Alligator mississippiensis: one gene and its partners. The protein of the gene in region 3 interacts with the protein of the main gene of each other region in a pairwise test. Links are inferred from orthologs where the notes say so. Each region holds a gene or a part of one and is shown on either strand. Other genes may lie near its edges.

Evidence for each region.
Region 1: the proteins of FSD2 (region 3) and LENG1 interact in binary tests that used the Homo sapiens proteins (3 or more experiments, as listed by UniProt). The two-hybrid records come from large-scale screens. The link is inferred for Alligator mississippiensis from reciprocal best matches to the Homo sapiens genes FSD2 and LENG1.
Region 2: the proteins of FSD2 (region 3) and CDC73 interact in binary tests that used the Homo sapiens proteins (3 or more experiments, as listed by UniProt). The two-hybrid records come from large-scale screens. The link is inferred for Alligator mississippiensis from reciprocal best matches to the Homo sapiens genes FSD2 and CDC73.

Annotation. Positions count from the first base shown.
Region 1 is NC_081828.1:38,487,575-38,495,286, forward strand, and holds the start of LENG1 (leukocyte receptor cluster member 1), read right to left. Parts: upstream 3,049-7,712; 5' UTR 2,871-3,048; coding exon 2,739-2,870; intron 2,064-2,738; coding exon 1,881-2,063; intron 1,013-1,880; coding exon 741-1,012; intron 462-740; coding exon 245-461; 3' UTR 1-244. Other genes in the region: TMC4 (transmembrane channel-like protein 4), read right to left, coding at 4,737-4,787, 5,099-5,177, 5,452-5,607, 5,879-6,009, 6,221-6,404, 6,706-6,803, 6,920-7,046, 7,142-7,308 and 1 more.
Region 2 is NC_081828.1:62,038,401-62,046,220, reverse strand, and holds the start of CDC73 (parafibromin), read right to left. Parts: upstream 3,049-7,820; 5' UTR 2,990-3,048; coding exon 2,859-2,989; intron 1-2,858.
Region 3 is NC_081834.1:18,309,622-18,317,546, forward strand, and holds the start of FSD2 (fibronectin type III and SPRY domain-containing protein 2), read left to right. Parts: upstream 1-4,842; 5' UTR 4,843-4,994; intron 4,995-7,925. Other genes in the region: WHAMM (WASP homolog-associated protein with actin, membranes and microtubules), read right to left, coding at 4,213-4,800.

The DNA.
Region 1 (7,712 bases), on a different chromosome or scaffold from region 3:
AGCCCCTTCTTAGGTGCAAAGTCCATGGAGGACTGGAGGGACTCCCCACCTGCCAGTCCAGGGAGGCATTGTTAAGGGGAGGTGTAACAAAAAAGACATCCTGTGTCCTTGGAACAGAAACATCCTTGTGGTTTGAAGGGCTGGAGCCTTCCCATTCTCTGTCCTTGGAGCCCTGGCCCTGCTATAGTGCCTATTCAGGCAGTTCCATGTCTAGAGCTCCAAAGCCCCCATTCTGCACCCCAGCTCAGCGCTGCTCCTCCTGGTCCCGGGGTTTCCGGGCCAGCTGTGGGTTGAACTGAGAATTGTAGCAGCGTCTCCTGTCGTCCATCTCCACTTCCTCCCTGCAGCTGACTGACCCTCCCCGCATCCCAGCCAGCAGGGCTTCTGCCTTGGCTCGCTCTGCCTTCTCTCGCTGCAGCCGCTCCTGCCTTAGCTCCTCCAGGGAAGTGGGGCCAGAGGTCCTGGGATAAAAAGCAAGGGGTTAACATCCTCCTGACAGTTGGAGTGAGGGCTGGCTGGGAGCAGAAATGGTATGCAGGACATGAAGAGGGGAAGGGAAAGCAGTACAAGACTTCCCACTTGGCCTCCCACCCCTTATAGGGACAAGAGAAAGGAGTGACAGGCTGTGGGCCCTGTGGCCTGAAGTTGCTGGCATATGTAGGTAGAAGTCTACAGCACAGGCCCAGCCCTGCTCCAGTAAACCGAATACCAGGATCCAGCCCTGCTCATGTCCCACTCACCCCACTCCCTTTCTTTCCTCTTTGCGCCTGTCCTTCTCCTTGTGCCTCTCCTTTTCTTTCTTGTGTTTCTTTTGTTCCCCTTTCTTCTTCCGCAGGTACTTCTCCATCTCTATGAGGGGGTCCAGCTTCCCCTTCAGCTTCTCATCCCTGACCATGTCAGCTGCCTCCTTGCTGCAGTCTGGGGCCTCCTGGTACCAGGGTGGGTTGGTTTGGGCCTCAGCTGAACTCTGTCCCAGATATGTCAGCAGCCCAATGGCCTTCTCCTGGTGCTCCTGTGCATGGGAGGGGTATGATAGGAGTCTGAATGGAGGGGTATTCTTTTTAAGTGCAGCCTATGGGGGTGGATACTCCCTCCACTGGCCTCAAGGCCTGAGGCCCGTACTCGGGAGATACAGCTCTAAGATTTTGAGGGGTAGGGGATGGACACACCAGGGTGCAAATGCTGTGGGGCCATGGCCAAGCACAGCTGTAATCGGGGCAGGGGGGATGGACAGTGGAGTCACATCCCTGCCCCATCAGAGCCCCAGAGTGGTATGGAAGAGCTTCCATATGAGGAGAACTAAAGAGCTAGGCCTGTTCAACTTAAAAAGAGAGCTGCATGAGAGGGGACATGAGAAGGGTTTACAAAATAATAAATCCATGTCTACTTTCTTTTCACCATTTAGTATTTGCTGTCACTCATGATACAAGAACTAAGGGTCACAAAATGAAAGTGGCAGGCAGTAAGTTTAAAGGAACCTCTTTTTCACACACTGTGCAACTCAAGTTGAGAACCCGTTGCCAGCAGATGTAGTGGAAGCTGACAGCCACATTAAAAAAGCAACTGGACAAGTTCTTGGAGGAAAAGTGCAGCAGTAGCTATTGAGCCTGGGAGTTAGCAATATAGCCTGTGAATCAGAGCTTCCTGGACCTCAAATGCTGGGAGGCTGCAAGCAACAGAGGAACAATGGGAAAAGCCCTAGTCATGCCCTGTTTACTCGTCAGCATCTGCACTCTGCCTGCACGATGCAGGGGACTGGGCACAATGCACCTATAGGGTGACCCAGTCAATGACAGCTCTTATGAGTGGGGGCATCCCATCCCCACAGGTGTCCGATCAGGTCCCCTGGGGCCTCAGATGTGCCAACCTTCTTTCATTACCTTCTCCTTAAGCTTCTCCTCCTCATACTCCTTGTTCCCTGCCTTGCTGCCCTTGCCATCCTCCAGGTCACGGAAGAGGTCGACGTGATGTGGCTGCTCACCGCAGAGGGCCAGCTCCGAGCTGCTATCGGGCTCCGGCAGGGCCAAGAGCCGTGCCTTCTTCCTCAGAAACTTGGTCCGTGCCTGCAGGGGGGACACGGCTGTCAAGGGAAGGAGGGGGGTTCAGGGCCAGGACCTGCAGGACTCTATGGCTCGTTCAGTGTTGGGCCTTGGGGAAGGGGGCCAGCCCCAGGGCAGCTGGGGGGTACTACTGCTGTGCATAATAAAGGCAGCAGGGATCTGGGCTGAGATTCCACAAATTCATGTCACCCAAGGGCAAAGGTAGCTGCAGACATGGAGGAGGCAGCGTGGAGCCCACAGGGCCCTGGGGTTCTTGTCCAACGGGGGAGCTGAAATCCACACTGCTGGAAGAAGGAATGTGGCCCAGAGGCCTCCCCCTCCAGCCTCAGGGGGGGCACTTCCTAGGGAAGGATCTCTTCCTTGCCCTCTGCCCCCCAGCTGGAAGCAGTACAATCTAGCTTCTTTCCTCTCTCCCCCTGCCATTAGTACAGTTTATTCCACTTTTCTTTTATCCTTGACGCAATTCAGAAGTGGTTCAAACCAGCTCCCTCCTCTCCCCCTCCCCGCACTTTAGTCCCCAGCGATTTTCTGCGCCCCGCCCCCTCGGGAAATGGTTTGGCTCAGATTTCTGCTCCTAACATCCCTCCAAAATGGTTTAAGGCACGAGCCATCTGAGTCACGTGACCAACCCGCATGCGCCCGGGGGGGGGCGGGCTCCGCGCCTGCGCAGTGACTCACCTCCTGCTCGGCCAGCAAGGCCCGAGCCTGCCGCTGCTGCCGCTCATCCTCGGCCTGGGCCTCGTCCCGCCGCACCCGGGCCACATTGTCTTTGTTTCGCACGTGCCAAGACTTCTTGGGGAGGATGTTCATGTTTGTGCTGCAGGTAGGCTTCTCCCGTCGCTTCCGCTTCCGGGTCACGAACCCACTGGCTGATTGGCTTGCTGCGTTCTTTATCTCATTGGTGCACTAAAGTCCCCCCCACTCCCCTCGGCGCGATGTCTGCTTGGCTGCAAGGGATTCCGCCCTCGCTCTCTGATTGGAGAGCAAAACTGTGCGCTCCTTGATTGGTGCGTGATTATCCCGCCTCCCCCCCCCACCAAATTCGTGCCTGCCCCAGCGTGCGTGCTGATTGGCCTGCGGAAGCCGCCTCCCTCCCACCGGGATACTGCCCCTTCTCTCCTCACACCCACTTAACTCACCTCCCTATCTGGATTGGCTTCCTCACCTCCCTGCCCAGCCTCCTCGTCCCTGATTGGTGCACCAGAGCCACGCCCCCTGCCACAGCCCCTTGATTGGAACCACAAGACCAAACCCCACCCAGAACCATGTAATTTCTGATTGGATCCTACTACTCCTGCCTGTTGACACATTCCTGGCCCCGCCCCCACGTGAGCCCCCTTCCACCCTAGGGCCCCTAGGGGAGGCCTGAGGTCACTGCTGCGGGTGATCACTCATTCGCTGCCAGATCCAGGTCATGAACATACATGTGTGTGCACATGTGCCCACGCCCACCAAACCTCCCCTTCAGTGTCCTTCCCTCCCAGAGGCGTGAAGGCTGAGTTGCGATGTGGTAATGCCATGGCATATCCCATGGAGTGGCAGTGCCTGTCGCGGCATAGCAGCCCGGTAGCGCACCCTGTAGCAACCCCAGGGTCCTAGAGTCCTTCTCTCCCCTTCTCTCACTGCTCCCCTACCACCCGTCTCTGCTGGTGACGCTTGGCCCCCAGCAGCTCAGGAGCCCACAGAGAGCCGTGGCCAATTGTAGGGGGTGAAAAAACACTCCGGTTGACAGAGAGAGAGAGAGAAAGCTGTCATGTGATTGGTGAAGCTGGGGCAGTGCTGCCCCTGGGGAAGGAAAGGCAGGTGTAGGGTACAGAGTCCAAGGAAAAAAATCTTGGGGACCATTTTCTGCAAAGAGCCACAGCGGGGAGGAGTGGAGCTGTGGTCCACAATCCCTGCTAACAGCTTGCCTGGGGAAACCCATAACGTCTGGAGGCCAATGGACTTCACCTGGGTATGGATGGAGGTTTGATTGTTTCTGGTTCCCAGCTGTTGAATTTCACCTCCTGTTTATTCACCCTGCTGTTCCAGGCACTTACAGCAGCAGAACTCAGCCTGTCTTGTCCAGCCCAACTTTTCTATGGCTTTTGGTGATTCTCTGATGGGCAGGATGAATGGCACGGGGCCAGTTCATGGGTTGGATCCCACGCATGTGGTCTGTCTGTGGGGCTGATCCAGCACAGGGGCAGTCCATGGGTGCGATCCATATCATCCAGTGCCGGGGGGGTCCCCATGGATCTAGATATTTGGCACCAGGGGGAACGGTGGCAGCCGGAGCTGCAGCCCTTAACGCTGCTACCACTTCCCTGTTGCCAAATTCCCAAACCCGTGGGGAGCTCCGCAGGCCATAGGTTGAGCACCACTGACGTATAGCTGTTTCCTTGGCTTCCAGGACTAAACTGAGCAGTGTCACTGTGTGCTTCTTAACAGGTCTCCGTGCCCCACCCCAGAGATGGCTGCAGCTCGGGGTCAGCTAAGAGATTTCTACGTACAGCCTCAAAAACTTTGGTGCTGTCCCAGTGACTGCAGCTTCCATCCACTGGGGCCAGGGTTTGGCATGGGGAAGTGCAATTGCTTTGGCAGGTGCGGATCCAGGGCAGGTGCAGAATCATCATGAAATCAACTGGAGGAGAGTTTCCCCCATCAGCAGGGGGGTGGGGAGCAAATGGTGCCCCCTCAGCTCAGCTCTGTGATCTGGTTCACCAAGAAGACTTTGTCTCTGCCCTCCTGCAAGGGGAGCGAAACCCAGCTGGGTCAGTACTGCTGCCTTCAATTATCTCAGGGGCCCACCTCCCCTGGTATGCCAGGTCCAGGAACCTGGCTAGTGGTCAAAGCAGGCACAGTTATGCCCATGGGGGAAGTTTCCTTGTCAGCAGCAAGAAGATGAAGCTTTTGGCTTCACTCTTCAGGGTGTCCTGCTGGTTAGTGCTGTTCCTGGGGCTTAGATCCCAGATCAGAGCCAGTAGAGGGGAATGTACCCCTCTCCATCCCCATCCCAGGCAGCCAGAACCCTGCCCTAGCCCCAGGATGTGACTCACCAGCTGCAGCTGCATCTTGAGCTCCTTGACCAGGCGGCTGTAGGAGTCAGCGAGAGCCATCAGGTAGAACAGGAAGATGCTGTGGGGGAGGAGGGGACCGGCAGGGACTGAATTAGGGGTTGGCATCAAGTGATGGCTTGGGCAGGGGCCTGGCAGGGGGTACTGAGAGGAGGGAAAGGGAGCTCTGTGGACTGGGAGAGAGGCGCTGCTGTGCATGTGTGTGGGTATGCACCTGTGCACATGCGTATATAACTCCTTCACCATCCCCACAGCATCCCTGCTCTCTGTGTACTCTCAGCCGAGGGAGATTCCCCAGCCTTCTCAGCCCTCCTCAGCCTAGCCTAAATTCTCACCACAGGAGCAGGAAGAGTGGCACGATGAAGCCCAGTGAGCCCACAAAGTAGAAGAAGCCCCTGGCCAGCTCAGGCAGCCCGTCAATGGCCAACAAGGCAGCATTCCACATAGATGACTCAGCCCGGAAGGGGCCGCAGGCTTGGGACGGTGGGAGGCTGCATGAGAGAAAGAGGAGAGGGGGGACTGGTCAGGGAGAGGAGAGGAAAACTTGGACATGGGAGAGAGTAGGACCTTGGCCCTTAGGCAAGGAGTGAAAAGAACTGGGGCTGTAGCAACCAGGCAGGGGTGCGTGACAGGACTCAGCCCCTGGGGAACAAGCCAGGCACTGAGTGATGCCACTGCCCAACCCCTGCTCCCCCTGGCACAGGAAGATCAGAGAGGGGAGCAGGAACAGGGTGGGACTGTCAGTGTGGGGGTTGGACTCACGCAAAGATGCTGTATAGCGCCGGCACCCAGGAGATGGCCAGGCCCAGCAGCAGGACCAGTAGGAAGAAGAAGTTGGAGCTGGAGGCGCGGAAGGTCCGGTCGCCAGGACGGCAGTTGGAGAAAAGGGTGAGCTGTGGGGAGGGGAGAAAGGGATGGGTCCACAGGGGAGGAGAGAACCCAGGGGTCCTGGCTCCTAGAGCTCCCTGTTCTAACCCACTCATCTCTCAGAGCTGAGACAGAACCCAGGCGTCCTGGCTCCCAGGCCCCACCGCCCTGCTCTAACCCACCAGACCCCTCCGCTCCTCCTAGGGCCAGGAGAGGATCCAGGCATCTGGGGCGCACCTTCTTGAGGTAGAAGAGGAGGATGTACTTGAGGGTGTTGAGCAGGGGCAGAAGCGGGCAGAAGGAGGCACCGACCCAGCACACAGTCTGGCCGTACACCAGGTCCAGCACATTGGTGGGCACCAGGAACTCTTGTTGCCCCCAAAGCCGGGCAAGCAACACAGGGCCGTGGCTTACCAGGATCCTGGGGGAGGGAGATGAGGTGACAGGGCCTGGCCCTCTGCTCTCTGACTCAGCCCCATGGGCTCCTTGCCCTGACTCTCCAGAACCCCACTACACCCTCCCTGCCCAGCCTGGCCCAGCCCAGCCCAGCCTCCCCCTACACCCAACTGCTCATTCCTTACAAGCTTCTCCAGTCCCCACTTCCAGCTCTCCCTTACAAGTTCCCCCAGTCATTTCCACCCTACCCTGGACACTCTCCACAGCCCTTCCAACCCACAGCTCATCCCCCAGCCTCTGTCCTGCCAGGTCCCACCCCCTCTCACTTGCGGGGGAACTCCACCAGCAGTGTCACCAGCAGCATGGTCAGCAGGTCAAACACCAGCAGCTTGTACATCTCCTGCCCCACCCGGGTCTCCCAGCACTGTGGGGAGACACATCATGGCATTGTCTTGCAGTCAAGTCTGCTCCCTCCAGCCTCTCTATTCTAACCGACTCCACTTCTCCAGCTGGGAGACAACCCAGGTGCCCTGGCCTCACCGGGAAGTGCTGGTGGTTGTAGCCACAGGTACGGCAATCAAAGGCCTCGGTCTGCCCGTGGCAGGTGATCTGCATCCAGAGGGAGACAAGCAGGACCACAAGGCTGGCAAGGCGCAGGAAGACACTCCTGTCCAGGCAGAGGAGGAAGACAGAGGCGGTTAGAGGGGCCATGGAATGGCAAAACGAGGCAGGATGTGGCAGGGCTCCTCCCATCCCTGGTACCTGACAAGGGTTAATTTGATTTCTTGGCTGAACGGGTATTGCTCCAGGCGTACCAGGACCCCAAAGGCCATAGGCACTACCAGGTTGGCTCCCGTGATGATGATGGAGGGCAGGTAGGAGACCAGCAGTTCCCAGAAAGCCTTGCTCTTGGACTGTGCGACACTCTGCTGCAGGGGAGAAATGGGGGGAGGTAACTACAGCCCTCAGCGAGAGCAGGTCCTTCCCATGCCCCCTGACAGCTGCAGTGCCCTGGGGAGCGGACACCAGCCCTGTCCATGGCAGTGAGGGGTGCCAGTGGGGCTGGGGGAGCCCAGGGCAGGGCTGGGAGCTTTGGGTTGGGAGTGAGGGGCACCAGCAGGGCAGGGAGAGCTGAAGACAGGGAAGCCTGGGGGCTATGCATCAGGACTGACAGGTACCAGCATTGTGGTGGGGTGTTACCTGGCTGAGCGTGCTCTGTGAGTACTCAGTGGCCAGGTAGATGCAGTAGAAAGCCACTCCCAGCAGGGCAACCACCAGTAGGTTGACGAGGCCGCGCAGGGTATAGAGCCAGGCACGCTGGGCTGGGCTGCGC
Region 2 (7,820 bases), on a different chromosome or scaffold from region 3:
CACTCTATGAGGGCCAAGAGTTTATTATTCCACCAGTGACGTATTTTCTCTTCCAAAGGCATCAGCTTTCACATGTGCCCTCAAAAGAAAAGCAGTAGTGTGTGCAACCTGTTAGAACCAGATGACACACACAAAACAAATGTCCATTATATTAGACAAGTTACTGCAACAGCAATCAACTATTCATCCTTTTAACCTTACAGCTTACTGAACAGAAGGGGCAAATGGACTGCAAGAGAGGAATCTGCCTCCACCTGAAGTCTGTCTCCGGTTCTGAGGTGTCAGGGAGAACAACCATCAAACAAAAGACTGACACCTGTACACCAGCAAAAAAAAAACAAAAAAAAAACCTATATATGTCAATAATAAAACATAATGATCAAGCTATAAATGAGAGGGGTAAACGCACTATATCCACTTGAGATAAACAATGCAGTTGACTTATAAGTAAACATAATGCTTAAAGAACACTCTGAACCTACCAAGCCTAGAAGCAGAAACCCTCTATCCAGGAAACAGATCCAAGAAGCAACAACTTCTCCTACTGCCCTTTGACTTACCTAAACTTAGTTCTAGAGAGACTACTTCTAAAGATTTGGAGGATCATCCCACCTTCGCTACTACTTCGATTATCCAGATCATAATCAAAAAAAGCCTACTAACAACTAAAGTATCAAGTAATGACATTTTACTAAGTGTAGGACTGAAATCACACTCATTTGACACACCCACTCATGTATTAAGAGCTGAGGACACCAAGTTTGAACACTGGTCCAAAGATAGTGTCATCTCAATGTATTACACACAACCAATTACTTGTGTGGAAGCCACTGGACAGAATCCAAATGTATTAAAAAAATTGGAATCCAAGTACCAATTTTTCTAAAAGCAGGTAATCCTGGTCCCCATAGCCACCACATAAATTGAGCAGCTATGTGAATGCACTGCAGATCAACATTTGAAAGAGTTACTGAACACATGTAATCAGGCTAAAAAGAAAAGAGAGAACAGCCACCAAGGAAGCTGAGTAAACAGCCAACATGCACACAGCGTTAGGAGAAAGATGATGGCAGGATTCTCACTGTGCTGTTCTCGGGCCCCGCTCACAGCAACTTCTTTGGATCAGCTCTCCTTCCTAAACACTCTGGCTGCCAAACAGCACTCTCCTTTCACCCACCCAGATCTTCTTGTTTCTCCCTTCCCTCACACCCAAGGCACTTCTGTGCCTGCCTCAACCACTGCTTAAAAACTTGCCTATGCAGCAGCAGAGCTTGGCTGACAGGCAAGATTCTCTGCTCCCCGCATGGTTCTGAATAGCAGCAGCGAAACCTAACAGCAACTTACTTGTTGCTGCTTGGGAAGGCTCAGAACAACAGACACCAGAATAGTCTGCACAACTGCTCATGCTGACAGCACAAAACCATTTCATATTTTTGCACACACTTCTCCTGCCTGCAGATTGCAGAAGGCCTTTCCACGCAGCACCAGGATGTGCTCAAAGACTCTTTAATGTCTTTGAGAAACCCTTGAAGAACAGTAACAAATTAATGGTGTATAAGCTGGTTACTTGCACTGGTCAAAAAGAAATCCACAAATTTATCTCCAAATTACCAGAAGCACACTAGAACAGGGTTACTCAACCCGTAGATCCCAACCCAAAAGGGGGTTACAAGAATATACGAAGGGGTTGCAAAGAAACTTTAAAAATGGATTCTCTTTTAAAGGAGGAAAACGTGAGAAACTGTGGTTTTTCCCTTGCAGGCTGGCAGAGGTCTGGCCTGCAAGGGCCTGCCCCGCCACCCCCACCACTACCATCACCACACTGGGGGCCGGAGGCAGCACTTCAAGAGGGTGAGGGGCACTGGGTCGGGACTGGCCATCAATGTTTACAAACAGGTCCTGGTACAAAAAAAGACATTGAGAACCACTGCCCTAGAACTAGCCCCATGCCGTCAGTTACTTTTTGCCTCCCGGATGTTCCAGTTTAGAACACCGAATCGATGATCAGATGCGACACGGACAAATCCAACGTTCCCACTCCAATTCAGAAGGTTTTAAATAATGCCCCAGACCCCAGGGGAAACATCAGCTCCCCTACTCTTCCCTCAGCCCTGCAGAGGGTCTTGGGGAAGTCATCTGCCCCTTTCACCTGAAGCTCCAAGTTTCACAGCCCTCTACAGGGAAGGCATTACCTTTCACTAGCATTTGAAGAGCGCTTCCATGAGTGGCTACTGAGAAGTACATGTGTGTAATGGAGGGCAGTGACTCTTTTTCAGGGAAAGAAGAAAAAACCAAAACAAAACAAAACATCCTTGAGCTTTTAACCGCTACCATGACCCTGCAGAAGGTCCAAAGCAGCCCTGGGGAAGCGTACACCCCCAGCTACACTCTGGGCTCCAGTTTCCAGCCAGCTCCGGGCATTGTTTACTTCCCTGCTCCCAGCCCGGGCAGGGCCGGACCCCACCGCCTGGAAACAGGGAGCAGGAAGAATGGCAGGGAGCTGGGGTCGGCGTCCACCCGCGGGCCGGATCGACACTGGGAGCGGGGCAGGCACCTCTCGGCAGCAAACAAAGAGGCCAAGTTTGCCCGATCACCCAAAGCCAACCTGGGGGCAGCGGCCGGCGAGGACCAGAGCCTCCAGCACCACGGGGCACGGCCCTTCCTACCCCCAGCCGGACCCGGGGCAGTACCCCCCGCGCGGGACGGCAGCGCCGAGCAACAGGAGGCGCCGGAAGCCCCCGGGGGAGGGAGGGGGGATCGCGGCCCGGTCTGGCGCCCCCGGGGCACATGGTCCAGACTCCCCCGGCCCTGGGAGGCGAGGGGGAGGAGTTAGGGGGAAGGGGAGGGGGGGCACTCACCCCCAGATGACATAGTTGGTCTTGACGTTCTTGGGCCAGGAGAACTCGCCGAAGATCACCTCGTCGCCCTTCACCACGATCTCCTTCTTCTGCGTGTTGTACTGCCGCAGCACGCTCAGCACGTCCGCCATCTTCCGCCCCGCGCCCGGCCCCGCTGCCGCCGCTGCTCCACCCGGCCCGGCCCCGCCGCCAGCCGCGCCAGGACCCCGCCGCCAGCCGCCGCCAGGGCCCGGGCTGCCCGCGCCGAACGCCTGCGCCCCGCCGCCGCCCGCGCCCGCCGCTAGGGGGAACCCTGCCCTTCCCCGCCCTGCGCCGCGCCTCCCCCCTAGGCCGCGCGGCTCCTTCCGGCGGCTCTTACGGGCCGCTGCGGGGAGGCCGCCCTGCACCCCACGGCCAGCGGGGCAGGGCTGGTGTCCCTCGCCCACTGGAGCTTTGTTGCCGGATGCACAGTGATGGCACTTGTAGGATCATTTCAACTCTTGCACGGTGCACCGTTAATAATAGTAAAACTGTCCAAAATGCACCATCATTTTGAAGGTACCTAATTGATGTGACCTGAAAAACCCGAGTCACTCTCTGAGAGTCTTAACCCACTTTTGGTTTGCCTTCTTTAATATAAATTTCTATAAATACAAGTTTTCCTCATTTATGCGAGCTCTGTACGTGCAAATTCACTCTTATGCCAAAAATTTGTTATAAAAGCAGGTAAATTCACTCTTGTGCGATCTGTGTGGTGGAAGCCGGCAGTCAGCTGCTTTGTGCAGTGCATTGTGGGAGTGACACCAAAATATAGTCTTCTGTGTGGATCGTTGTCTGTGACACGTGTTTCTGTAATTGCCATCCATCCCCATTATGGTAGTGCCCTCTGCTTGTGTGTGCTGTCTGCTGTTGGTGAGTATCAAAATTGTCTTATAAAAGTGGTAGAAATGTGTCTGGGGGTCAGTACAGTCGAGGTCGTGGAACGTATCCCTATTTGTTACATTGTAAAGTGGGTTCCATTTACGCAAATTCGAGTTATGTGCCATTTTGCAGGAACACGTGTACAGCATAAAGGAAGGGAAATCTGTCTATAGAAAAACACACACACACACATATGTACATATACAGGCAGCCCCACTTAATGCTGTTTCAGTTAGCGCTGTTTTGCTGTAATGCTCATTTTACCTTGATACACAATTCCACTTAGTGCTCAGCGAGTTTTGTTTTGTTGTAACACTTATGGGCATCGTACAGCTGGCGGCAGGGAATGTGCGCTACAGCCACAGTGCAGCGGTGGAACGCAGCCTTGTGCAATTTAGCACCAATTTGCTTGTGTCACCATCTTGGTTCATCAAAAACTTGTGTGCCTTACGTTTAGCAATTAATTTTGACCTTTGAAATCAATCATCGTGAGTCAGAAACGTGCATCAGAAACGTGCAACCGACTCTGTAACTGCAAGTGCTGAGAAAAAGCAGCACAAAAGCTTAATGCCGGAGCTTATATTGGATGTCCTGAAGCAAACTGAATCAGGCAAATGCAAGAATGAGGTCTGTATACCATTGGATTTGGCTTTGGATTAGAACGTTTGAATTAGATCATAGAAAATTAGGGTTGGAAGGGACTTCAGGAGCTCATCTCGTCCATCTAGAAGTTTGAATTAGATGTCCAAATTGAGTGATTTTTATAGTGCTAGTGGGGAGCCGCATTAACGAATTATATTTATTTACATTAATTCTTATTGGAAAATTGGTTTCGCTTAATGCCATTCTGCTTAACACTTGTTTTTTTGGGAACCAGTTAACACCACTAAGCAGGGGCTGCCTGTGTGTGTGTGTGTGTGTGTGTGTGTGTGTGTGTGTGTGTTACCTCTAACAACTCATCAAATGACCATTGTGGTTCACTTGACAGCCCAAAACACACTTTACCAGTTAACCTATTTTACTCCAGTTACAATGTTCGCACCACACACCCATGCACCTATTGCCATTCAGCACTTTCTTATGACTGCTTGCCTCAACATAAAGCAATGCTTCAACTTCATGACCCAATTCTCACTCACTCATTGGCGAGTTATAATGAGCAGTACAGGAAACCCTCTCTATTCGTGGGTTCAGTATTCACAGTTTCAAATACTCATGAATGCCAAACCCACATTTTAAATACACTTTACACTTGGAGGAACTCCTTGGGAGCTCCGCACTAGCTTCCACTGGGCTCCTGCCGTCGCCACTGGAGCCGTGCCCCCACCCCTGCCAGCTGCCAGGGGCACTGCATTCATGAGCACAGTGCCTTATTTGTGGATTTTGCCATTCACGGGGGATAAGGGAACATATCCCCTGCGAATGGCAAGGGTCGCCTGTATAAAGTTGATAAGGTTGATTTGCATAGTTATTTGCATATATATTTGCATATTTTTCCAGTGTACAGTAGTTTGCATCAAATACGATACTTTTGAGCTTCCAATACAATAATATTTAAGACCTGGCAACACTGCACTGCAGGGACTAACAGGGTGGCTAGGTAGGGGGCACACTGGGCCAGGCATCTCAGCTGTAGGGTTGGGGTAAAACTAAACAAGCTGCCCCAATGCAGGGCAACCTCCCTTGACAGCCTGCTCCTGCCAGGCATGTGGTAAAGACCCCTGCTGTGCATTACATGCATTTTGCAGATGACTCACACAGTCAGTTGATACCAGCCACACATGCAATGTAACAATTGCACCATTAACTGGTGAATTGTGCAATAAAAATGAGTATTCAGCTATAAAAAGAGCCAGCCAGCTAGAAAGTGCTTGAAAATGTATAACCTCCATCTCCTCCCATCACTGGCATTTGTCCAGCCTGAACTGAGCATGTAGCAGGGCCCTTAGAAACACCTGAGTAAGTGGTGCTCTGTTCCAGAGACCAAGCAGGCCACTGGATAAGTAGTGTTGTGAGCACTTCTCTGATGTGGCTGCATGGGTTGAACTGAACTGGCCTGTTGAACCATGTCTAGACGGGCACGGGGGTGCGGTATGTGGCGCCACAGACCCATCTTCGGCACTACATTCCATACCTGCAGGTGTTCCCTGAACTGATGCTTTGCAGTACTACCCCTGGAAATCCTGTGGTCCAAAAAACCCACACCAAAAAAAACCACGGTGGTGCATGTGGCAGTAGAGCATTTCACCCAAAACAGGAGCCTGGCAGGCTGGAGCTATGTTCTGGCTGCTGGCCATGCTCTCTGCTGCAGGAGTGCTGCAGCTCCTTAAGGCCCCCATGACCCCACCCAGGTAAGGCTGCTGGGGCCCACAATTGTGCGGGCCCCAGCCTCCTCTACCCCACCTGGTGTAACTTCCCACATGCCAAAGCACACATGGCATGAGTGTTCCCCAAGGACAAGCAGCAGCAGCAGCACAAAGTGTGCCACTGCTACTTGTCCCTGGGAAAGCACATATTCCTACATATCTGGACGTGCCCTCCTGGGTAATGGCTCAAATGTCTCCAGAAGATGGAGCACAAAGCAGTAATTGTAAGGGTTTATCTGCTCCATGAATCACAGTGGTGTAATAGACGTGAGAGTCACCAGATGGCGCTTTACGCATTCTGATAACTGCATAAAATCAGATCCTGAAAAGAATCACATTAGGGAAGGTGTCGGTTTTTATTAAGAGCTGGCTCTATCAAATTAGAACTTCATAAGTGAGCAGTAAGTTTTGGCATCTCCTTTTCGGGGTGTCTGATTTTATTTTGTTCAAATTAGAAATTCATACTGAATCACTGATCGCTTCTTAAACGACTAGGTGTTACCAGAAAGTTAGTTTTTCCTGTGTAGACTCAATGGAATCACTGTGCATGGCAGATGAGAAACTTCCTGTAGAAGATAAAACATATATCCATGTAAAATAAAGAAAATATTACATGGTGACAAAATCCCATAGGAAACATAATTTAGTGTTGATTCTGCTAGCCATATCTCTAATACAGTTAAATAATTAACTGTTGATCAAAGTATATACATATGAAAAACAGAGCAATCCATGTTATGCCGGATTGCACAATCTATTATGAGCGGCATTTCTATTTTGACACAGAGGGCAGAGTTTAGATTACGATTTAGATTGGTGCAACCTACTCTGTCAGCTACATTGTTTATTGCAATAGTAATTTGCATTGTCTTTTTCTAATGGTTCATAATGACTAAACTATCAGTTTGTGAATTATTCTGCCTACTTAGATGGCATAGTAATAGAAGCACTTTGAGACATGCACACATGCTTTCAGACTGAGTGCATTCTTCCAAGCATTCATTCTGCAGTAGCAATCACAGAGAAATTGTTCTGAGTCTTGGACATAATGCACACATCACAAAAATACAATAAAATATTAAAAATCAAATGCCACAAAAATGTGAGAGAAGGCATAACTTAATTTTTACTATTCAAAACATACCATTTCAACAAGAATAACCAAACTTCAAGCAAACATCACCATCGCATATTTATTGAATTTCATAAGCCAAAATTCATGTAATTAATATCTTCCCATGTTTTGACCTTATTGAAATTAAAGAGTTGAAATGATGGTGGATTTCCTCTGGCAGGGGTTTATTTGTCTTTCTCATCACTGCAAATTATGTTTTATTTTTCTCTTCAAGTCTAAGTAGACTGGGAACCTGTCATTGTTTCTATGTTTTAAAAGTAAAAGTAGCATTTGCTGTGCTGATGTGCAAGAAATATTAACGTGTGTAATAACCAAAAATATACACAGAATAGATTACATGTTATATCAAAACCAGCATAATATGTGTGCGCTAAAACATAATAATGAAATGAATGATATCATCTACTAAAAACACAGCAGCCTCAGAACTACAGCACAGTAACTGTTTATTCAACACACTGTTTAGCAGGTGAATAATTTAAAGACAATTTAAAGTAGGCAAAATATAACTGCCCAAATTGGAATCTGATATGGCCAACAGAATTAACTGATCTATTCTTG
Region 3 (7,925 bases):
TTGTCACACTCATGCCTCAGATTGGCCACCCCTGTTCTAGAGTAACCTACAGTTATAATCCTAAAGATACATGGCATTCTTATACTACAGGAACCTAACCTAACAATACCAATTATGTGAATTTTAACCTTTATTTCTTCCATACATATTCAAACTGTCTTTTAATACATGTCTGTATCACACCTAATCCCTAGGGTCCCACTCTCATGAGGTTTTTTGTGTGTCTGCCATACAGGTTTTGAAAACTTGCACAATTTAATAGTGTGCTAGAGATTTTCACAGATTAGTCCCACACTAGACATGAGGCCATGATTTACTGATGACAGAGTTTTTTCAAATTCATCTGAGAGCAGCTAAATTCGACAGTGGTATTTGCCAGCAAACACAAATGTTGCTTTTTATGCTAATTAAGCTGAGGTAAGCTCCATGAGAAATGAGGTAGGGTCCTGAAAGGTTGTTGGTTTGGATACTGGGATTTTACGCAGAGGAGGGAAAGAAGAAATCTTTGGAAAATGCGGGCTCAACTGTGTTCCTATTGAAAACAATGGGGTGAGACCTTTGACTCTGTCTTCCCAAATGACCCTGGGGAAAAAAGGGTGCTTAGAAGCTAAGGTCTGGCTAGGACAGAATACCTACAATGCAACTTCTGTCTTCCAACTATTTTCTCACAAGCATGCTGGCCATGTCAGAAGCCAGGCCTTATACTACAGGAAGTGCTATGGCTCGCGGGGGATAGTCCCTGGAGGCTGCCCTAACTTAAGGAGAAGGCAGGATAGGTTTGCACCTTAAAGACTAATGAAAATGGAGATATCTAAGCTTTCTTAAGCAGTACCTTGCTTCATCAAATGCTCTGAGGGTCATCATAGCATCTGTTAAAAACAAGCCACAGCTTACAAAGGCTTTAGGCATCTCTGATTTCAGTAGCCTATAAGGTACAAATCTATCCTGCCTTTCCCCAACTTCAGACTCATACAGGTAACTGCCTCTCTCTGCCATAACTTAGGCAAGCCTCCCAAGGGTCACACCGCAGTGAGAAGCTTGGATTTTTTCCCCCCATTATTTGAGCCAAGTGAAAAAATGTATGTCATGAAAAAAAAACCCTTTGGTTTTCCTTTCTGGTTCTCATGCACAGTCCCAAAGCATGGGAGGGGGATGTGGTCATGCCCCTGCTGGAGAACATTTACATTTGGGGAAAGTAACAGGAGCAAAATTTTCTCCCCAAGCATGTTTTTTATTCAGCTTAGATTTTGTAAGCCACTCCCTGTGACACTTCACTTTCTAGAAGTCTAGCTCACCACTAACTATACTGCTACTACTGGTATTGCTGGTTTTTTTCCAGTGAACTTGACTTAGGAAAATAGTATTATTTCATGCTGAGTTGTCCTCCCCCCCTCTGATGGGCTGAGGTATCTGGGAAGGCAAAGCAGAATATTTTCATTTACTATATGGCTATAAAAATAGGAAGAGAATGCCCTTGTGTTTATATCAATTTTGAGTCAAAAGCTATGGGTTTTATAGTTGCCTTTGCTTCAGAATTCCTATGCAACCTTGGGGAAATAAGTGATTTTTTGTGCCTCAACTACCTTGCCTCTAAGATGCAGGTGGTTACCTCATGGGCATTACTTCATCAGCATTTGCAAAGCCTGAAGATACAAGTAATGTTGTGTCAGGAGATGCTTTAGCCATGTCTCCACATTGCCAGAACTAAGCTGTTGTAAACGTTTTCACCAAGCATGCTAAAAACCAAAGCTGATGTATGGTTCAGAAATATACTTCTAGGTGCTGCTGGTACCTTTTGCAAAAAGAAAAATTAACCCAAATCATGTTTTAATATGATGCCACACTTCTGACCCTGCTTATTCTAGCAATCCAGTTATAGTAGGCATTACAGTGCAACAACCAAACCTGAGTATCATCTCTAATAGACTTATCTTTTTCAATAGTGTTCTGGGAAAATTTTAAATCCTATTACACCCTTTAAACAATGAAATGTATCAGGTTGTGTAAAGCACTAGGCCAGTGCTGATTCTCCCCCTGCAAAAGTACAGTAGTCCTGAAACACCTCCCATCCCCTTGTTCTGAAGAAGTTAAATTGTTAAGTAGTTGTATGGATACAGCATAATTGGTCATGCCACTAATTGTTTTTAACAAAGCAATGGACTACCTGCAGCTGTGCTCTTAAAGGGGATTATTTACAAAGCAAAATACCTCAACTGCTTAACCCTCACCTAATAAGGAACAGACTCTCAACATTTCCTTTAATTAGGAAAGAATCTTTTCTTGCTTTCATTGGTCTGCTCAGGTATCAGAAGATGGCTTTTTTTTTCCCCTTAAACCAGAAATACTTTTATTGGTATAGGAAGAAAGACCTATAATGCACTTAGGCCAGAATTTTGCATTAGACAGAAAAAGATTGTTGCGCCCCCTCAAATCAAGCATTTGCCATATGTCCACAGCCAGCGAGGCATTTAAAACCCTCACCAATACAAATGCACCACTGTATTTTACATCAAAGACAGATTTCAGGGAAGAAAAGAGATTAAATTATTACAGTACTACTGATTAAGAGTGTTGTGTTATTTTGTTTTTGGCAGATGCAACACTGGATGTTCTTTCGGCATAGGTGGTTGGTATTTTTTTTTTTTTTTAGCACTCAAGTTCTGGTAGTCTTAAAGTTTCAGCTAAATACCTCAAAACATGCATGTGTACTGTCTACTTGAAATCTACTTCAACTGCATGCTACTAAGCCTGAAGAAGTCTACACTACTCAACCATGGTCACTTTGCTGTTTTTGGATAGACAAGGAATATGTGATCAGACAAACACTAACTCAGGGTTGTCCTGGCATCCTAGGGCGCCTTGAGATCCTCTCAAGGATGATTTGTGGGGAGAGGGGGCTTCTTGGCTTTTTGCAACAGAATAATTGCTCTATTTTTCAGTAGTCAAAAACAAGTATAAGCTCAGAGCTGACATTTCCTAGGGAGCCCCCACTGTAACCAGGCTGAGGAGCACTCGCTGACTGGTTGCACTTTCCTCTAGCTCCAGTGGCTGTTCTAGCTATGCCTCAACAGTGCCACCCCCTCACTGAAAGCCAGCTTGGAGAGCAGTAGTTCCCCACTAGTCCGGAGTCAGGGTAGCTCCACTAGGCTAAAAAAACCCAACCAGATAACTAGCTTGATTCACACCAGAACATTTTGTGTTACATCAAGTCTAAATCTTACAGACAACTAATCTCAATGTCCCACATTACATACAATTTTTTTGAATTAGCAATGATCCTTCTGAGGCAGAGTTAATTCAATTTGTCATTTGATGTGACTGGCTGGGCTGCATCTGGTCTTGTTGGGAGTTGTGTCTTGGCCTCCTCAGGGCCACATAAGACCAACAGTCTGTTTTTGCTGCTGCCTAGCGCAGTGTGCCTCTGAGCCACAGTCACCAAGATCACCTCAGGCCCAGCACTTCTCCCTCAGGCAAGCACCTGTGGAGCCATCTGTCTTGCTCCATTTTGCCAGGTCACTTCTAACCTGTCAGGCTGTGAAAATAGCCAGCCAGTTTGTTGTAGCCCTGATTAGGCCAGAATAGGACTTGCACCAAAATAGCTATATGGCCCACTCCTTTGCACATGAGGGGTGAAAACCAGTGTTGCCCAACGTCTCATTTGTGCCATCAAAATTTCTGTGGCAGTGCAGGCACTAAGGCAACAGGCATCGGTTCCCGTTGCTGTACTGCATGAAAGGCAAATCAGCGGTGCAACAAGGTAGGAACAGACTCTGCTGCTTTATCACCAGGGGTGCACGTTCCCCCTGCAGACTGCCCCAGCTGCTTGCACTCTCCTGCCACCCCAGGAGGTGCTCTGGGGGCCTGAGGGTTGCCTCAAGCCCTGGGAAGACCAGGCTGCGCTCCCCAGGGCGCTGAGGGTGGCACCTGGGCTGGCTGCCCCAGTCACCAGGCGGTAGTTATGCTGCTGCTGAGACCAACACAGGGAACTGCCTCTGTGCACTTTATGTGAGGCGAGTTCAGTCAGCCAGGCTCTCCCTGGGCCAGGGAAGCACAGGCAGCCCTTGCCCTGGGGAGGGGGAAAGCCCCTCCGGGCTGCAGGGAGCAGAGCAGAGACCAGGCCTGGTCCCGGCCGTGGGGGGCGCCTGGGCCTGGCTTCGGCTCCGATGGTGGCGTGGCCCGGGGGCCAGGACTTGGGCCGAGCCCCGGCCGTACCGTGCGCAGCGCCTGGGTGGCGGCGGCCAGGCGGGCCTGCAGGGCAGCGCGGCGCAGCTCGGCCAGCGGCTCGCAGTAGGCGGAGTCCGGGTCGCGGGCGAAGAGCGCGTCCAGCACCAGGCGGCGGCCGCACAGGTCCAGCGCCCGCGCCAGGTAGCGCTCGAGCCGGCGGCACAGCTCGTCCATGGCCGCCGCCTCCTCCTCGGCCGGGCCCGCGGCGAACAGCAGCGCCCACAGCCCGCGGGCGCGACCCTCCAGCAGCGCGGGCGGCAGCGGCGGGAAGCAGGGCTCCAGGCCCGCGCTCAGCGCCGCCAGCTGCCGGTGCACGCCCAGCAGCGCCCGCGCCGAGAACAGCCCGGCCCAGCTGCGCTCCGCCGCCGCCGCCGCCGCCGCCTCGCCCGGCCCCGGCCCCGGCCCCGGCCCCGGGCCGCCCCGGCCCGCGCGGCTGTGGCACGTCACGGCGAACTGGGCCTCGGCCGCGTTCCAGCCCACGAGGAAGCGCAGCGCGCCCGGCTCCGGCTCGGCGAAGGCGGCCTGGCGCACGGCCACCCACCCCTCCAGGCTGTCGGGCTGCGCCGCCGCCGCCATTGCCCCCGCGCCCCGCGGGGCGGCGGAAGGGAAAGTGACATGGCCTGGGCTGGCGGGTGTTGGGCACCGTCACCGCGGCCGAGGCTGCCCATTGGTGGCTTCACTTGGGGGGAGGAGCCAAAGAGTTACCCCCGGAAGTGACGTAAAGGTGCAGGAGGAAGGGGGCAAGAGGGAGCTGCTGCTGCAAGTGACGAGTGAGGGCAGGTGCTTGTGGACTGCGGGGGAGGGTTGTACTTGAAAGCGCAGCACTGGAGGGTTCCCCCTACACACCACTACACCCCGCCTCCACCCACACCTACAACCCCCTTCACACACACACAGCACTACACCTCCACCCACACACCCACCACTACAATCTCCTCCACACACACACACACACACACACACACAGCACTACACCTCCACCCACACTCCCACCACTACAACCCCCTCTACAAACACCCTGCCACACAGAGCACTATAACCTCCACCCCCCCTCAACCTCTTTCTACACACTCACACACAGTACTAGAACCACCCTCTGCTCCACACACACCACCACAAATCTCTAGACACACACACACACACACACACACACAGCACTACAATTCCCCTCTAGACACACCACACAGAGCACTACAATTCCCCTTTCCACACACACTGTCTCTCCCTGCCTCCCTCCCTCCCTCTCTAGCTGGTTCAGAGTCATGGGCTGCCCCAGTTGCCCTTTGCCCAGCCTTGCACTTGATCTGACACCCAGAGGTGTGAGAGGGCAGCCGGGCACCCAGGGACAGCAGGTTGCACAGGGGCACTGGCAGTGTCTGGTGGCTGCCGTGCCACCGGTGCTGTTGTGCAGCTGTGTTGGGCAGTGTTATTTTTCTGCCCTTTCCCTGCCACTGTGCTGGCACCTGGGCCAGTGGCCCCAGTCACCACGTGCTAGTTATGCTGCTGCTGCTGAGACCAACACAGGGACCTGCCTCTGTGCACTTTGTTAAACATGGTTAGTTCTCCTAGGTTTAATTCAGAAGCAGAGCATGGGAGCACAGCAAACATCTGCAGCCCCTGAGGAATTGCTTGAGCACAAATAATCCACGTAGGAAATGGAGAGGGATGGGTGCCCTTCACTTTTATGTTGAGGGGAGTTATGTGACTGGAACATTTACTGAGAAATAGTGCATGCATCCACTACTGCTTCTAATACAAATGACTGAAGCATGGCCATCCTGCTGTCCCTCATCCTCCTGCCTTCTCCTCACCCCACCCCAGGGTCCTTCAGCAGTTAGGGCACTGAGGTGCAGAAATCCACCCCTGCTGGCATCAGTGTCCAAAAAGCAAACAGAACCAAAACTTTCTCTCCAAACTGTTCCTGGGAATAGCTTTCTCTTATTGCCTGTTCTGCTCCTCGGTAGTCTTTAGCCCTTTTCTTGGTTCAGCTTCCAACCCTTCTATGTTTCAATCAGTCCCTTCTTCCCTTTGCTGGCAGGGAAGGTGAAGCATGCACCTTTGCTGCAGGGTATCACCTTGCAAGATAACTGATCCCATGGAGTCATCCCTAAAACCTGAAGAGTTGGGCTGTGTGCCTAGGCCTTGCCTCATGTGTTTATGGAATGAATAGGCCGGTAGGCAGCAGTTATGGTATGCTCTATCGTACCTTTGTAAGGCTTTATAAAGCATGTCGTTTGGCAGGTTTATCTGATGGATGGAAGACTGCTGCAAAACATACAGATGATATTTGTCATTCAGCCAGAACTTGGTGCTGCTTTTTCTGTATTTAAATACACCAGTCTGGTCTTACTGGGATGGGGCTGCTAGAAATGACAGCTTTGGGGTGAAAGGTGATGTGGATGGTGCTCAGAATGAGAAAAAGAGTGTCTGCCATCCCAGAGCATCTAGATGTTATTGACGGAATTAGTACGGAAAAGGTTAACAGTGATGATATTTATACTGCCCTCTTTAATGTTCAGTATTAAAACCCCACTGACATAAATGAAAGGAATATACCTCTGTGAGACCTACTGTCCTTGTTTACTACTTCAAAGAATCAGGCAGCTCTACACCATTTGAAGTTCTGCTCATGCTTTTCATCTTCATAATCCATTTAAAATGGGCACCCAAGTGCTAGAGACACTCATGAGGTCACAAGAAAAGTCCCTGCATCCACAACTCATCATTTAGAGGAAAACAAACTGAAGGGAGGAAGAAATAAAAATCAAAGGAGGAAAAGAAAGAAGCAGAACCTTTTCCCTTTTGTCCAGTGAAACAGAATACAGCTTGTCAAAGTTGTTATAACTACACTGGCCCTTCCAGCTGTTCAAGATTCATACAGACACCGAGATGGATGAATAGTGAAGGAATTTCACCAGTTTGTCCAACTGCAAGTTATCTGCAATGTTCTTAAATACATTCAATTTCTGTGATTAATGCTTGCTCATGGCTTCTTTGCAAGCAGATCAGTGCCAGGGTTCGAGTTAAGATGTCAGTGTTGTTGACTGGACATTACCTAAAAATGCTATTGTAATCTCTATTGTTATTATTATTATGATTTATGCAATGTCTTTTAATGGGATTAATCAGTGCAAAGTCATTTTCTCTTGATAAGACATTTCACTTATCTAGTCAGCCATTTTCTCTGCATTTAGCCATTTTCTCTGCTATTTTCAGCTTCCAGGTATTTGCAAGGTGCATATATTGATATTAATATAAATAAACATATTTAATACCATGAACCCAGATCTTGTAGAGATGGAGCAGCTTGTGTGTCCCATTGTTCCTCAGAGCTAGGTCTTGCACTTTTGGCAGGGTCACCCATGGTGAACAGGCCTGACGGGAGGTTTCAGATAAACTACAGTCCAACCCCAAGTACTCAACAGCAGATCAGGCAGAAGATGATGACAGGATCTCAATGGCTGTAAAGATAGACGTCTCCTGTCATCTAGGATTCTCCTTGGCCACTGCATCCAGATCTCTACCTTGTTAACGTTACCTGGTTGTTTTCTCACATCAGCTCCCTCCTATTAAATGCAGTCAATGCAGGCTTCTACTACAGGATGATGATGACACATTGCTTGCCTGAACCATAATATTTTCTAGAATCTGATCTTGCTGTCCACTAAACTCAATAAAGAATAAAGAATTTAACATACCAT